Linked DNA regions of Macaca fascicularis. The protein of the gene in region 2 interacts with the protein of the main gene of each other region in a pairwise test. Links are inferred from orthologs where the notes say so. Each region holds a gene or a part of one and is shown on either strand. Other genes may lie near its edges. The genes, in order: RAB29 and CSTPP1.

Evidence for each region.
Region 1: the proteins of CSTPP1 (region 2) and RAB29 interact in a two-hybrid assay, tested with the Homo sapiens proteins (2 studies listed by BioGRID and IntAct). The two-hybrid records come from large-scale screens. The link is inferred for Macaca fascicularis from reciprocal best matches to the Homo sapiens genes CSTPP1 and RAB29.

What each region holds. Positions count from the first base shown.
Region 1 is NC_088375.1:63,613,003-63,619,517, forward strand, and holds the start of RAB29 (ras-related protein Rab-7L1), read right to left. Parts: upstream 3,836-6,515; 5' UTR 3,739-3,835; intron 3,458-3,738; exon of another isoform or gene 3,453-3,457; 5' UTR 3,334-3,452; coding exon 3,210-3,333; intron 2,914-3,209; exon of another isoform or gene 2,769-2,913; intron 1,010-2,768; exon of another isoform or gene 972-1,009; coding exon 900-971; intron 27-899; coding exon 1-26. UniProt on the Homo sapiens protein: The small GTPases Rab are key regulators in vesicle trafficking. Essential for maintaining the integrity of the endosome-trans-Golgi network structure.
Region 2 is NC_088388.1:18,802,081-18,808,022, forward strand, and holds part of CSTPP1 (centriolar satellite-associated tubulin polyglutamylase complex regulator 1), read right to left. Parts: intron 3,716-5,942; exon of another isoform or gene 3,652-3,715; intron 2,488-3,651; coding exon 2,357-2,487; intron 1-2,356. UniProt on the Homo sapiens protein: Regulator of the tubulin polyglutamylase complex (TPGC) that controls cytoskeletal organization, nuclear shape, and cilium disassembly by balancing microtubule and actin assembly.

The DNA.
Region 1 (6,515 bases), on a different chromosome or scaffold from region 2:
TGTCATAGAGGTGAAGCGCTCCTGCCCTGGGGAGAAAAGGGAGAGTTCTCAAGAAGGTGACCCAAGAGCCAGCCTCCGCATCCTCTCTAACACCTCAGCCTCTCCCCATTCCTTGTGGAGGGGGGCAGTAAGCATATGTGGCAGAGGGAGTCACTCACTTTCCCCCTCTGACTCTTGGTTTTCTATCTATCCCGTAAAGGGATAATGAAGCCTGATTATTTCCAAGGCAGATTCCGCACCCCGATTGCTCCAGTCCATATCCCTGCTCTGCTGCATACTATTTGACTTCGGGCAAATTAAGCTCTCAGTGCTTCAGATTTCTCATTTCTAAAGTAAAGATAAAAGCAATAACTTTTTTTTTTTTTTTTTTAAAGAGTTTCACTCCTGTTGCCCAGACTGGAGTGCAATGGTGCCATCTAGGCTCACTGCAACCTTCGCCTCCTAGGTTCAAGTGAATCTCCAAAAGCAGTAGCTTTTATGATAGGGTTGGTGTGAGGATTAACGAGTCAGTGAATTTAAAATGCTTAGAAGAATGCTTGGCACATAATAAGGATTCACTATTTTTACTGTATCTATTTTCTGGGGATCTTGTTTTTCACCAAGGTCAGCCTTAAACCTAGAAAAAGGACCCTCCCCTGCTGTGGGAGTATGCACTATAGTCTGGACAATCCACCACCTTGCCAGCCCCTCCATCCACATAGAGACTGCTCTAGATCTATTCAGGGCAAAACATCTACAAAAGCTCTGCACCTATTCAGCTCGTGTGTCCTCAGAGCAGCTCAATCATTCCAGCTTCGGAAAAAAATTTCTGGCTTTGCTGCCCCATTTTTTTTTTCCTCAGATTTTCCTGGTTAAATCAAAATTTCTTCCCTCGTTCCTATCCAGCCCTCCCACTTTACCTGCAATATCCCACAGCTGAAGTCGCACTATCTCGGAGTCAGACCACTGGAGAACCTTCAGAGCAAAATCCACTGAAAATATATGTACATTATACCTTAATAAAATTTCACTGTAAAAATGAATAGGGATAAACTCAAATCAAATAGGCAGTGACAACCCGATGGACACACAACTCGAATCCCATGTTTATCTTTAAGCCCTCAATTCACTGAGATGAGTCCACACATGTGTATTAAGTGTGAGATGGATGGTTCATACTCACTCTCCAAAGGGGTTTCCAGCTTTTACTCTCCTGTCAAGCTCATCTGTTTGCTACTACTTGTCTCCAAGACTGGGGGTGGGAGTAACTATGAAAACAACTCTCATTCTCAGGTTAAACAGTTTCTGGGAGATTTAGGGGGTTTTCTCAGGGAAGGGGTGATGGGGGAGAAGGGGGAAATGAGACAAGTGTGGTTGTTTCTGTATCTTCCACATTCAATTTCACTGCTGGTTTCTAATCAAATTGTATTATGAAAACAACACACCCTGGGGAACTCTACATCCACCATAAGGTTGCAGGTATTATCTTGGGCAAGAATGGAATAAACGGAAAAGGTCCCAGAGGAGTCCCAAGAAGACACTGTGTGGATGTTGCTGAAGAGTCCTGCTGGAATCTACCACAAAGTCTGCAGATGCTGAGACTCCTTAAGGCTAAGTATTCCATGGGGAAAAGCTTTTGGCTAAGGAGAGAAACACAGTAATTTCTGAGGTTTGGAAATATTATCTTTCACATCTGTAACAGGAATCAAAACTAAGGGAAATTTAGACTAAACACTGAAAAAAAAAATTAGCCAGAGTCAATTATATTCTTTGTTAAAGGAAAACTACAGCAATTGTTAAAAATTAACTATTAATAGAAGGCCAATTTTAACCCAAATCCGTGAAATAGGGACCCTTATATTATTTAGGAGTGGAAGGGCAGAGAGGTCAGGATAGTGTGTCTGAAACTTTGAACCTTTAATTTTGCCAGACTTTAATGTTTTGTTCCTTTGTTTTTGAGACAGGGTCTCACTCTGTTGCCCAGGCTACAGTGCAGTGAGTGGTGCGAACGCGGCTTACTGAAGCTTCGACCTCCTGAGTTCAAGCAATCCTCTAGTCTGAGTTTCCGGAGTAGCTGGAACCACGGCTACTTTTTTCTTTAATTTTTGTAGAGGTGGGGTCTTGCCATGTTTCCAATGGCTGCTCTCGAACTCCTGGGCTCAAGCAATCCTCCTGCCTCAGCCTCCTAAAGTGCTGGGATTGCAAGTATGAACCACTGCACTGGGCCCTACTGGGGGTTCTTAAGGAGAATGTTTTAATTGCAATGTGAATGCTTAATTTCTTTTTAAACTTCCATATGAACAGGAGCACACATTTTCACTTTTTCCATTGGTACGTTTTTCTCCCCTTAAAACAAGTTCTTTTAAGAGAGAAAATTTTAAGTTACTCTCCCCCATCACCAGCTCTTCCTAAATACCTTCTAATTAACAATAAGGCATTTCTACCTCTGAAAAAATAGTTGAGTAAAAAGGCCATACCCGGGAAAGAAAGGAATGAACTCAGTGTTCTCTTCCTCCCTACCTTCTTCAGTTTGAGGAAAAAGTGGTGGGAAGATAGGTCAGAGAAGTGGTATATTTCACATTCTTCGAAGAATTCCTTGGTTACTTTTATTTAAGCAATCAACGGACAAAAACACAGCTCATCAGCCCTCATGGGCATCTGACTGCGTAGCCAAGGGGCTCGTTTGGGGATTTTGTGTCTTCCATCCCACCCACAGCCCCACAACAAAGCTAGAGTCCTTCAGACCAGTTCCGCTTCCTGCGTTCTCCCACTGAAGCCAGGTTAAACACCTTGCGGTTCCTTCCTCAACAGAGGTGCAGAACTACAGCCCCAGCCGGCACCTAACCAGGAGGCCCCCAGAGGATCTCAGCTGCTTCTGCTGATTGGAGAGATGCCAGACAGCTGAAAGGCTGGAGACTTGAGTTCACAGTGCGCCTGCAATAAACAGCAATTGCTTATCCTCATCCTCCCTTCCCTATTTCTCATCTTCAAGCCTTTGTTCTTACCTTTCTCCTGGCAGTGGGGTCAGGTTGGGAAAAATCTAACTGGGGAAACTCAAGAGAGGCTTGTAAACGAAACACCCGGCAATTACACCATTTAGGTTCCCAGACAGTACTTCCTGACCCGAAGAAGGACCCAACAACCGACAGCAAATCCGGATCCCACTTGGGTCCCCAGCTCGAGTCCGCGGTCGAGGCCTCCTCCTCCCCCTCCCCCGAAAGACGTCTCACCTCCCACCGTGGACTTGTAGTGTTTGCTGAAGCTGTCCTGGGAATATCGCTGCACCAGCGACGTCTTGCCCACTGCGGCGTCCCCCACCACCAGAACTTTGAACAGGTGGTCGCGGCTGCCCATGGCTAGCGGGGCGTGCGTTTTAGGGAGGCGGGAAGTGGGGGAGTCGCTTGTTTTAACCCCTTTGGCTCCGGACCCTCTTCAAACTGAAGTGAGGCATTCCCACCCACCGCCTGTGTGGGCTGCTCTGACGAGAAAGCAAAAAAGGAAACTTTGCACTCAAACTATACGTGCTTCCTCCCCCGGCGGCCGCAACCTGGGTGGGGCGCAGGGCGCAAGCTCCGAGCCCCCGGCTGTTCGCACCTTCCCCACCCCCTCCTGGCCTGACTGCCGAGAAACGGGACCAGGCGCCTCGGAACCTCCCCACCAGGACTTTCCCGGAGCGGCTCCGAGTCAGTGACTGAATCCCAGTCAGCTCATTACACCACTGGGGCCAGATGATGAGGACCCTCCCCTTGCAGCACATACCAAATTGTCAGGAAGGAGCAGCCGGTACCTTTCTATTCCCTAGACGTCGTCCCGCGCCTCTCTCTAGCCTTCCTCCGCCAGCGTCACGTGCAGGGTTGCCTGGAGCACTACATTCCCCAGCTTTCCTCGCGGTAAAGAGAACCAGCCGAGTGCGGAGGCTCACCCGCGAAGCCTCCTGGGAAATGTAGTGTATTCTTTTTTTCGTTTTAAGCCAACCTACACAAAGTTTCAAGGCTTCAAAACTCCTTCAACAGTTCGGAATCTTATTCTGAAACAATTCTGGGTCAGTTAAGGTCACTTAAGAGGAGATTTGTGCAACGTGATCTCACTGGCCTGAATCCATCCCCAGATAGTCTTCTCCTGTCTTTAAAGGTTTAACGGAGTTAAGATTAAAACTTATTTCGTTAGTAAAAGTCCAAGCCTCATCCATAATGCTCCAAGTGAAGTCCATTTCCTATTCCTTCAAATAGATAGACAAGCCCAGGACTTTGTGAAATGACTCATATTTTCTGTATGAACTTGCCCAATACCAGGCAAGTTCAGGAAAACTTGACCCAAGAGACCATTCTTTGGAAAAACATATGCCAAAAGTTACAGCATTTAATATCCAGCAATAACAATAAAGATAGACAGAAAACAAGAGACAGTTCCCCATTCATACTTCTGCAATGCCTATTCTAACCATACTACTCATGTATCACTTGAGGTAGAGGCTAATTGAAATACACTGGGAATCCTTCTCGATTCATTGTGGCTGTTGTTAATAGATAATCATAAAACTAGTGTTTGGCAAATAATTTTAATTTTTCAGCCTGAAACTTTACTGACCTGCCTGTCACTTAGGTAGGAGTTGGCAGGACATGAGCTCAATGGCAAGCAAAGAGAGCTCCATTTTCTAGACTTTTTCTAGAAACAGAAGAAGAGAACCAGCAGGGCCATGGGAAAACAGCCCAGGACCAGACACTATGAAATCTTACCTAGGTCTCTTGATAGAGAGGCTATCACTTATGTTTTGTGGGGAAAGAACATCAGCGTGGTTCACAATATATTTTGCCCAGAATGTTTGTTACTCAGGTACAGGAGGTTAGGCCAGGCTACTCATCTTTAAGGATCCAATTTTCTCTGTTCCTATTCGTTTTGACATATTTGACCACTCCTTGACATTTGTTTCCCTTATGCCTTCTATGACACTGCTCTTTCTTTGTCATCCCCCTACTTCTCCGATGATTATCCTTTTCTTTCAGGTTTCTCGCCATCCCATTTCCCTCTAAGTATTTCCTGAAGCTCTATTCTTGGTCTTTGAGTCAATGATTCTATAAACTCTTCAATGAATTGTCCTTGGTGTCAAAGATCTGTCTTCACTTTATTGTTCTTTATCTCTGATCAGTGATACTCAGCTGCCCAAAAGGTGCCTCCACTTGGATGTCCTGCCACATCCTTCCTCTTACTACATTGCCACAAAAATAGCTCCTTTTCTCAGCTTCCCTATTTCTGTCACTGGTCTCATTATTTCTTCCCTCCATGTAGACTTCAGATTCTGAGAATTATTATTTCCTTTACACATGTCCCTTTATGCCTATTTATTTATCTGAGATGGAGTCTCACTCTGTTGCCCAGTCTGGAGTGCAGTGGCATTATCTTGGCTCACTGCAACCTCTGCTTCCTGGGCTCAAGTGATTCTTGTGCCTCAGCCTCCTGCATAGCTGGGACTACAGGTACGTACCACCAAGCCTGGCTAATTTTTGTATTTCTTGTAGAGACAGGGTTTTATCATGTTGGCCAGGCTAGTCTTGAACTCCTGACCTCAAGTGATCTGCCCGCCTCAGTCTCCCAAAGTGCTGGGATTACAGGCATGAGCCACAGCACCTGGCCTGTACCCTTTAAAAAAAAGTCAGTTACCATGTCTGATTGATTTTTTCTTCAGTAAGTGGTTTCTCCCACTCATCCTCTCTGCTTCATATCCAGTAACACTTTCTTTTTTTTTTTTTTTCTCTAACTTTTATTTTAGGTTCAAGGGGTACATGTGCAGGTTTGTTACACGAGTAAGCTGCATGTTGCGCGAGTTGGCATACAGATAATTTTGTCACCCAGGTAATCAACAAATAACACTTTCCTAGTTCAGGCTTTCACCATCTCACACCCGCATTATTGCAGTAACCTGTTCATTGGTTTCCCTGAGTTTATTTTCTTTTTAAGTCACCCTCTACAACTGGACAGGATGGTTTTCCTAAAACACCATTGTTTGTTCTTCCTTATCTACCAACTATCTTTCAACAAAAAGGCCAACCTCCCTGAAGCTGGTGTCCAAAGCTTTCTATGCACCTGCTCCAGCCTACCTAACCAATTTTATCTCACCCTACCTCAAATGGGAGTTTCCTCTCTCCAACAAAGTGAGGTTCCTTATGCTCTTTTAAAGCCCAAAGTCATTTTTGGTTTTCTATTTTTGTCCAGGATGCATCACTTTCAGAATACTCTTCAGGTTTCTAAATCTTACTTAAATATCTTCTAATATACCTTTCGGCTGGGCCCTGTGGCTCATGCCTGTAATCCCAGCACTTTGGGAGGCTAAGGCAGGGAGATCACTTGAAGTCAGGAGTTCAAGACCAACCTGGCCAACATGGTGAAACTCCATCTCTACTAAAAATAAAATAAAATAAAATAAAATAGCTAAATCTTACTTAAATATTATTAAGAAAATCAAAAGGAAGAGAAACTATATTATTCACTACGTGGGAGTAGATTGTCATAAAGGTCACTGTAAGTTCTAAAATTTTAGT
Region 2 (5,942 bases):
AGACTTCTATGTTCCTTGCCTCCAGTCTAGACCATCTTCTACACTGCCTTTTGAATGATCTTTCTAGAGCTCAGATATTACCACACCACTCTCCTATCTAAAAGCCTTCAAATAAGATGGGGCATGGTGGCTCACGTCTGTAAACCCAGTGCTTTGGAAGGCTGAGGCCTTGAGTTCAGGAGTTTGAGACCAGCCTGGGCAACATAGCAAAACCCTGTCTCTACAAAAACATTTAAAATTAGCTAGGTACGGTGGGCATGGACCTGTAGTCCTAGCTAGCTAGGAGGCTGAGTTAGGAAGATCACCTGAGCATGGAAGCTCAAGGTTATAGTGAACTATGATCAAGCCACTGCTCTCTAGCCTGGGCAACGGGGTCTTTTTTTTTTTGAGACAGAGTCTTGCTCTGTCGCCCAGGCTGGAGTGTAGTAGTGTGATCTCGGCTCACTGCAAGCTCCACCTCCCGGGTTCACGCCATTCTCCTGCCGCAGCCTCCTGGGTAGCTGGGACTACAGGCACCTGCCACCACACCCGGCTAATTTTTTTGTATTTTTTAGTAGAGATGGGGTTTCACCGTGTTAGCCAGGATGGTCTCGATTTCCTGACCTTGTGATCCGCCCACCATGGCCTCCCAAAGAGATGGGATTATAGGCGTGAGCCACCGCACCTGGTTGCAACTGGGACTTAAAAAAAAAAAAACCCAAAACCAAAAAAAGCCTTCAAATAACACCCAGAGAATAAAATTTAACTTTTTTGTTTGTTTGTTTGTTTTGAGGCAGAATCTCGCTCTGTCACCTAGGCTAGAGTCAGTGGCATAATCATGGCTCACTGTAGCCTCAACCTCCCCCGGCTCAAGTGATCCTCCTACCTCAGCCTCCCAAGTAGCTGTGACTACAGGTATGTGCCACCACACCTGGCTAATTTTGTTTATTTTTTTATAGAGACAAAGTCTCAGTATGTTGCCCAGGTTGGTCTCAAACTTCTGGGCTCAAGTGATCCTCCTACCTTGGTCTCCCAAAATGCTGGGATTACAGGTGTGAGCCACCACATCCAGCCCCAATTTCTTTTCTTTTCTTTTCTTTTCTTTTTTTTTTTTTTTTTGAGGCAGAGTCTTGCTCTGTCGCCCAGGCTGGATTGCAGTGGCACAATCTCGGCTCACAGCAACCTCTGTCCCCCAGGGTTCAAACGATTTTTGTTTCTCAGCCTTCTGAATAGCTGAGATTATAGGAGTGTGCCACCACACCTGGCTAATTTTTGTATTTTTAGTAGAGACGGGGTTTCACCATGTTGGTTTCAAACTCCTGACCTTAAGTGATCCACCTGCCTTGGCATCCAAAAGTGCTGGGATTATAGGCTGAGCCACTGTGCCTGGCCCAATTTCTTTTATATGGCTAAAAAATGATCTTTCAGCAGCTCCGTTATTCCTTCACAGTCTCATCTCCCCTAACCTCCTTCACAAACTTCACACAGACCCTAGACATTCTGACCTGTTACATAAGTATTCCAGGTTCTTTTGTGCTTCAGCATATGTTCTACCTAGGATGCCCTTCTCTCCTTTATCCATGTGAATGATTCCAACTCTTCCTTCCCAGCTTAGATCAAACAGCCAGTTCTAAGGAGGACCTTCTCTGCTCCACTTTTCTCTCCCTCCTCTAACAACAGTATCCCCATCCCACCCCCATTCAGGAGTTTCTTTCTTTGTATTCACATTATTCCTTGTATTTACTGCATGGCATTTTAATATCTGCCAAGAGCAAGGGCTGTGGAGTCAGACTGCCTGGGTATAAATCTGGGCCCAGAATTTACTATGTAACCTTGCCAAGTTACTTAACCTCTCTGATCCTCAGTTTCGTTAGTTACAAAATGGGGATTATAGTATCTACCACAGAGAGCCCTTGTAAAGATAAACGAGTTACTACACGTAAAGAGCTACACTTGGCTCTTAATAGGTATCATTAGTGATGGTAGTGGTAATAGTAATATCTTTGACATAAACCAGACAACTCCTCAAAAGTGAGGTATTCTAAATACCTTGAATAGCATGCATTCAAACAATATTTATAGGAACAAAAGAAAAAGTTTGAAAGAGAGAGAGAAAGAAAGAAAGAAAGAGAAAGGAAGAAAGGAAGAAAGGAAGGAAGAAAGAAAGAAAGAGAAAGAAAGAAAGAAAGAAAGAGAAAGGAAGAAAGGAAGAAAGGAAGAAAGGAAGAAAGAAAGAAAGAAAGAAAGAAAGAAAGAAAGAAAGAAAGAAAGAAAGAAAGAAAGAAAGAAAGAAAGAAAGAAAGAAAAAGAAAGAGGGAAGGAAGGTAGGAGGGAAGGAAGGAAGGAAGGAAGGAAGGAAGGATTCGGGAAGACTTACCGCCATTTTTGCCCACAGTTCGGAAGCATCTCCAGAAGGCTCGTAAAAATGATACCCTATTGTGGGGGGTGGCTTGGACGAAGCTGAATTCTCGAAAGAGAATGTGTGTTCCCTGGCATACACTGTTAAAACTGCAAAGAGAAAAATCAAGAAATCATTGTTAGATGGAATCCAGAAGGCTGGAATCAGAATGAAAAATTGAGACCAGAGAGAAGCACTGCCAAAAAGAGGGAATTTTTCTCCCCAACAAAACTCTGAAGTCTAGATTAGACCTAGCCCTTCTATGGGGAAGTCTCTTCATATAACCATATCTCTCCGAAAACTCTTGGAGGCCAGTTCCTCTGAGTGCTTCCCACCTTCCACAGGTACACACAGAGGACATCTAAATCAGTCATTAGAGCATCGCATATGGAGGAAAGCCTTTTAGTCTCTAACTGGATGACACTGGCACTCATATTTTCCTTTTTGGAGAATACTTTTCCCTCCACTCCATTTGGAATTAGGTTTCCTTAAAGATATTCTTTCTGGGCTGGGCGCAGTGGCTCATGCCTGTAATCCCAGCACTTTGGGAGGCCAAGGTGGGTGGATTACTTGAAGTCAGGAGTTGGAGACCAGCCTGGCCAACAGGGTGAAGCCCTGTCTCTACTAAAAATACAAAAATTAGCCGGGCATGGTGGTGTGCGCCTGTCATTCCAGCTACTCGGGAGGCTGAGGCAGGAGAATCACTTGAACCTGGGAGGTGGAGGTTGCAGTGAGCTGAGATCATGCCACTGCACTCCAGCCTGGTCAATAGAGTGAGACTCATTCTCAAAAAAAAAAAAAAAAAAAAAAAATTCTTTCTGTACTCTCCCTGGCCTATACCAGCTGCCATAAGGATAACATGGCTTATGGGGACATAACTGGAGTGTCTGTTCCAGTTTGGGGTGGTTTTATATATCTCTCTGACAATAACCCCAGAGACAAATCCCATGTGCCAAAGGATATAAAGGGTCCAAACAGAACAAGAAAGGAAAATAGAAACAAGGGTATAAAGTGGCCCCTAAATGAGAGTATGAAGCAAAGCCCCAGGGCCCAAGTGAGTCATTGTTTAAGCTGGGCCAGGGAAGGGAAAAAATATACTCCATTGACTTTGGGTTTTCCTGCCAAAGAAATAAAGGCTGTAGAGCCTGGTGTAATCTAAAAATGGAAATTCCACCGAAGAATAGGCAATTATCCAGTAATCATCCCTACCAGAGCAAACTTCAGGTTCCAGAAAACTTCTAAATTCTCTGACAAGTAAATCATGAGCGGAAAACATGTTAATCTTTGTGGAGAAGCAGACATTAAATTTGAAGATGGCAAGCAATGGGGGGAACGGTGGTAATTCCAAATGCCAATTTTCATTTGTTGACCATATAAAGCGGGGGAAAAAATCTGACTCTGAATGGAACAAGAAAAAATTTCAGGAGCCATCTATTCCGTTTCCCTTCTCTCAGACCAACTTCATGGGAAAGAGTCTAACTTGTCTTTAGAGTATGTTTTCATTTAGGATAAAGTTAGTTCCTTCCTGTTAATAGTAACAGCACTTTATGAAAAAGCAAACTATATACTCTTCTTCTTTAATGGACAGCTAGCATAGAAATCTACTTCTAAGACACCCTGAGGAAGTATGAGGACATCATCTGGCAAAAGATTAGGTTAGTAGAGGGGCTTTCAAAAGCAACGAAAGTGTTAACCTAACCATGCAGTGCTATTGTCTTAAGCAAAGGAAAATAAAAAATACAGGAAATGAGCTGTTATAGGTAAATGCAGTAGGCTACATTTCCAGCAAATGAAGTCTGAAATGATAATACTGTAGCCTAAATTCATGAAGCTATCCAGCAAAGTAGTCCCAAAGCATGCTTCATATTCTAAGAGAGAAAAGTTGATGTCTAGGTCATGGTCTAATGAAATTGTAGCTTTGTTATAGCTTTAAAGACTATCTCAAATGCCAAATTTTGTGTAAAGTCTTTTCCTGATTTTATCTCCCATGCCCAATTTCCATTGTATCTCGCTTAAAATTCTCTAACAGTGCTCACAATTTGCTACTTTGTTTTAAAGTTACTGGACTTTCCCCTATTAGACTGTCAGTTCTATGGAGTAAACACAGATTGTACTCATCTTTGTCTCTACTATATTACCTAACTCATAATTACTCATAAATATTTGTGGAAATTGATTTAGAAAGATAAGAAAGACAGGTAAGTGATGCCAGGTAGAATGTATCTTTGAAGCTAGCCACACAGGAAATATTGAAAGTCTATATCTTATTAATTTTTCTAAATTCCAGGCTTTGGGTCTGATATTTTTATTATAATATTGCAATACCAGCTTTATTTTGATTGGTATTTTCCTGGTATATCTGTTTCTGTGTCTTTAATAACCCCCTTCTAGGTCATTTTGTTTGGGTATATCTCTTGTAAATAGCATGTGGCTAGATTTTGCTTCTCTACCCAACCTTACAGTCACTATATGTTAATGAGTAGCTTTTTAGTGTATCTGATTAATTTCTGACCTGATATCTTATTTTGTCTTTCCCATTATCCATTCCTCTTTGCCTTTCCCCACCCTCTTTTCCTACCTTCTATTGTGTTAGTAAAGTTTTGTTTTGTTTTAATTCTTTTCTATCCTCCCTATTAGTTTGGAAGCTATAGACAAAATCTATAATCTTTCAGTATTAAAATTTAATGTAATCAGCCAGACATGGCAGTACATGCCTGTAGTTCTACTCAGAGGCTGAAGATGGAAGATCGCTTTAGCCCAGCAGTTTGAGTCCAGCCTGGGCAATATGGTGAGACCCCATCTTAAAAAATTAACATAATATTTATCTACATTGTTTTTTCCCCAGACATTGTCTCGCACTGTCACCCAGTCTGGAGTGCAGTGGCCCCATCTTGGCTCACTGCAACCTCTGCCCTCCAGGCTCAAGCATCGATCCTCCCACCTCAGCCTCCGATTAGCTGGGACCAAAGGCATGCATCATCACGCTTAGATATTTTTTTGGATTTTTAGTAGAGATGGTGTCTCACCATGTTGCCCTGACTGGTCTCAAACTCCTGAGTTCAAGTGATCCACCCGTCTCAGCCTCCCAAAGTGTTGGGATTACTGGCGTGAGCCACCGCGTCTGACCTATCTACACATTTTTGAAAATGTCTGAAAATACTCATTATCTTTATAACTCTCCAAAACAAGACAAGGGGCCAGGAATGGTGGCTCATGCCTATAATCCCAGCACTCTGGAAGGCTGAGGTGGGTGGACTGCTTGAGCTCAGCAGTTTGAGAACAGCCTGAACAACATAGTGAAACCCTGATTGTACAAAACAATACAAAAATCAGCTGGGCATGGTGGCACATGCCTGTGGTCCCAGCTACTTGGGAGGCTGAGGTGGGAGGACTGCTGGAGCCTAGGAGGTCAAGGCTGCAGTGAGCTGTGATCGCACCACTGCACTCCAGCTTGGGTGACAGAGCAAGACCCTGTCTCAAAATAAATAAACAAAATAAAAATAAAAACAAAACAAGACAAAGCCCAAAGCACACTTTCTATAACTTATGTGCAGTCTTCTCATCT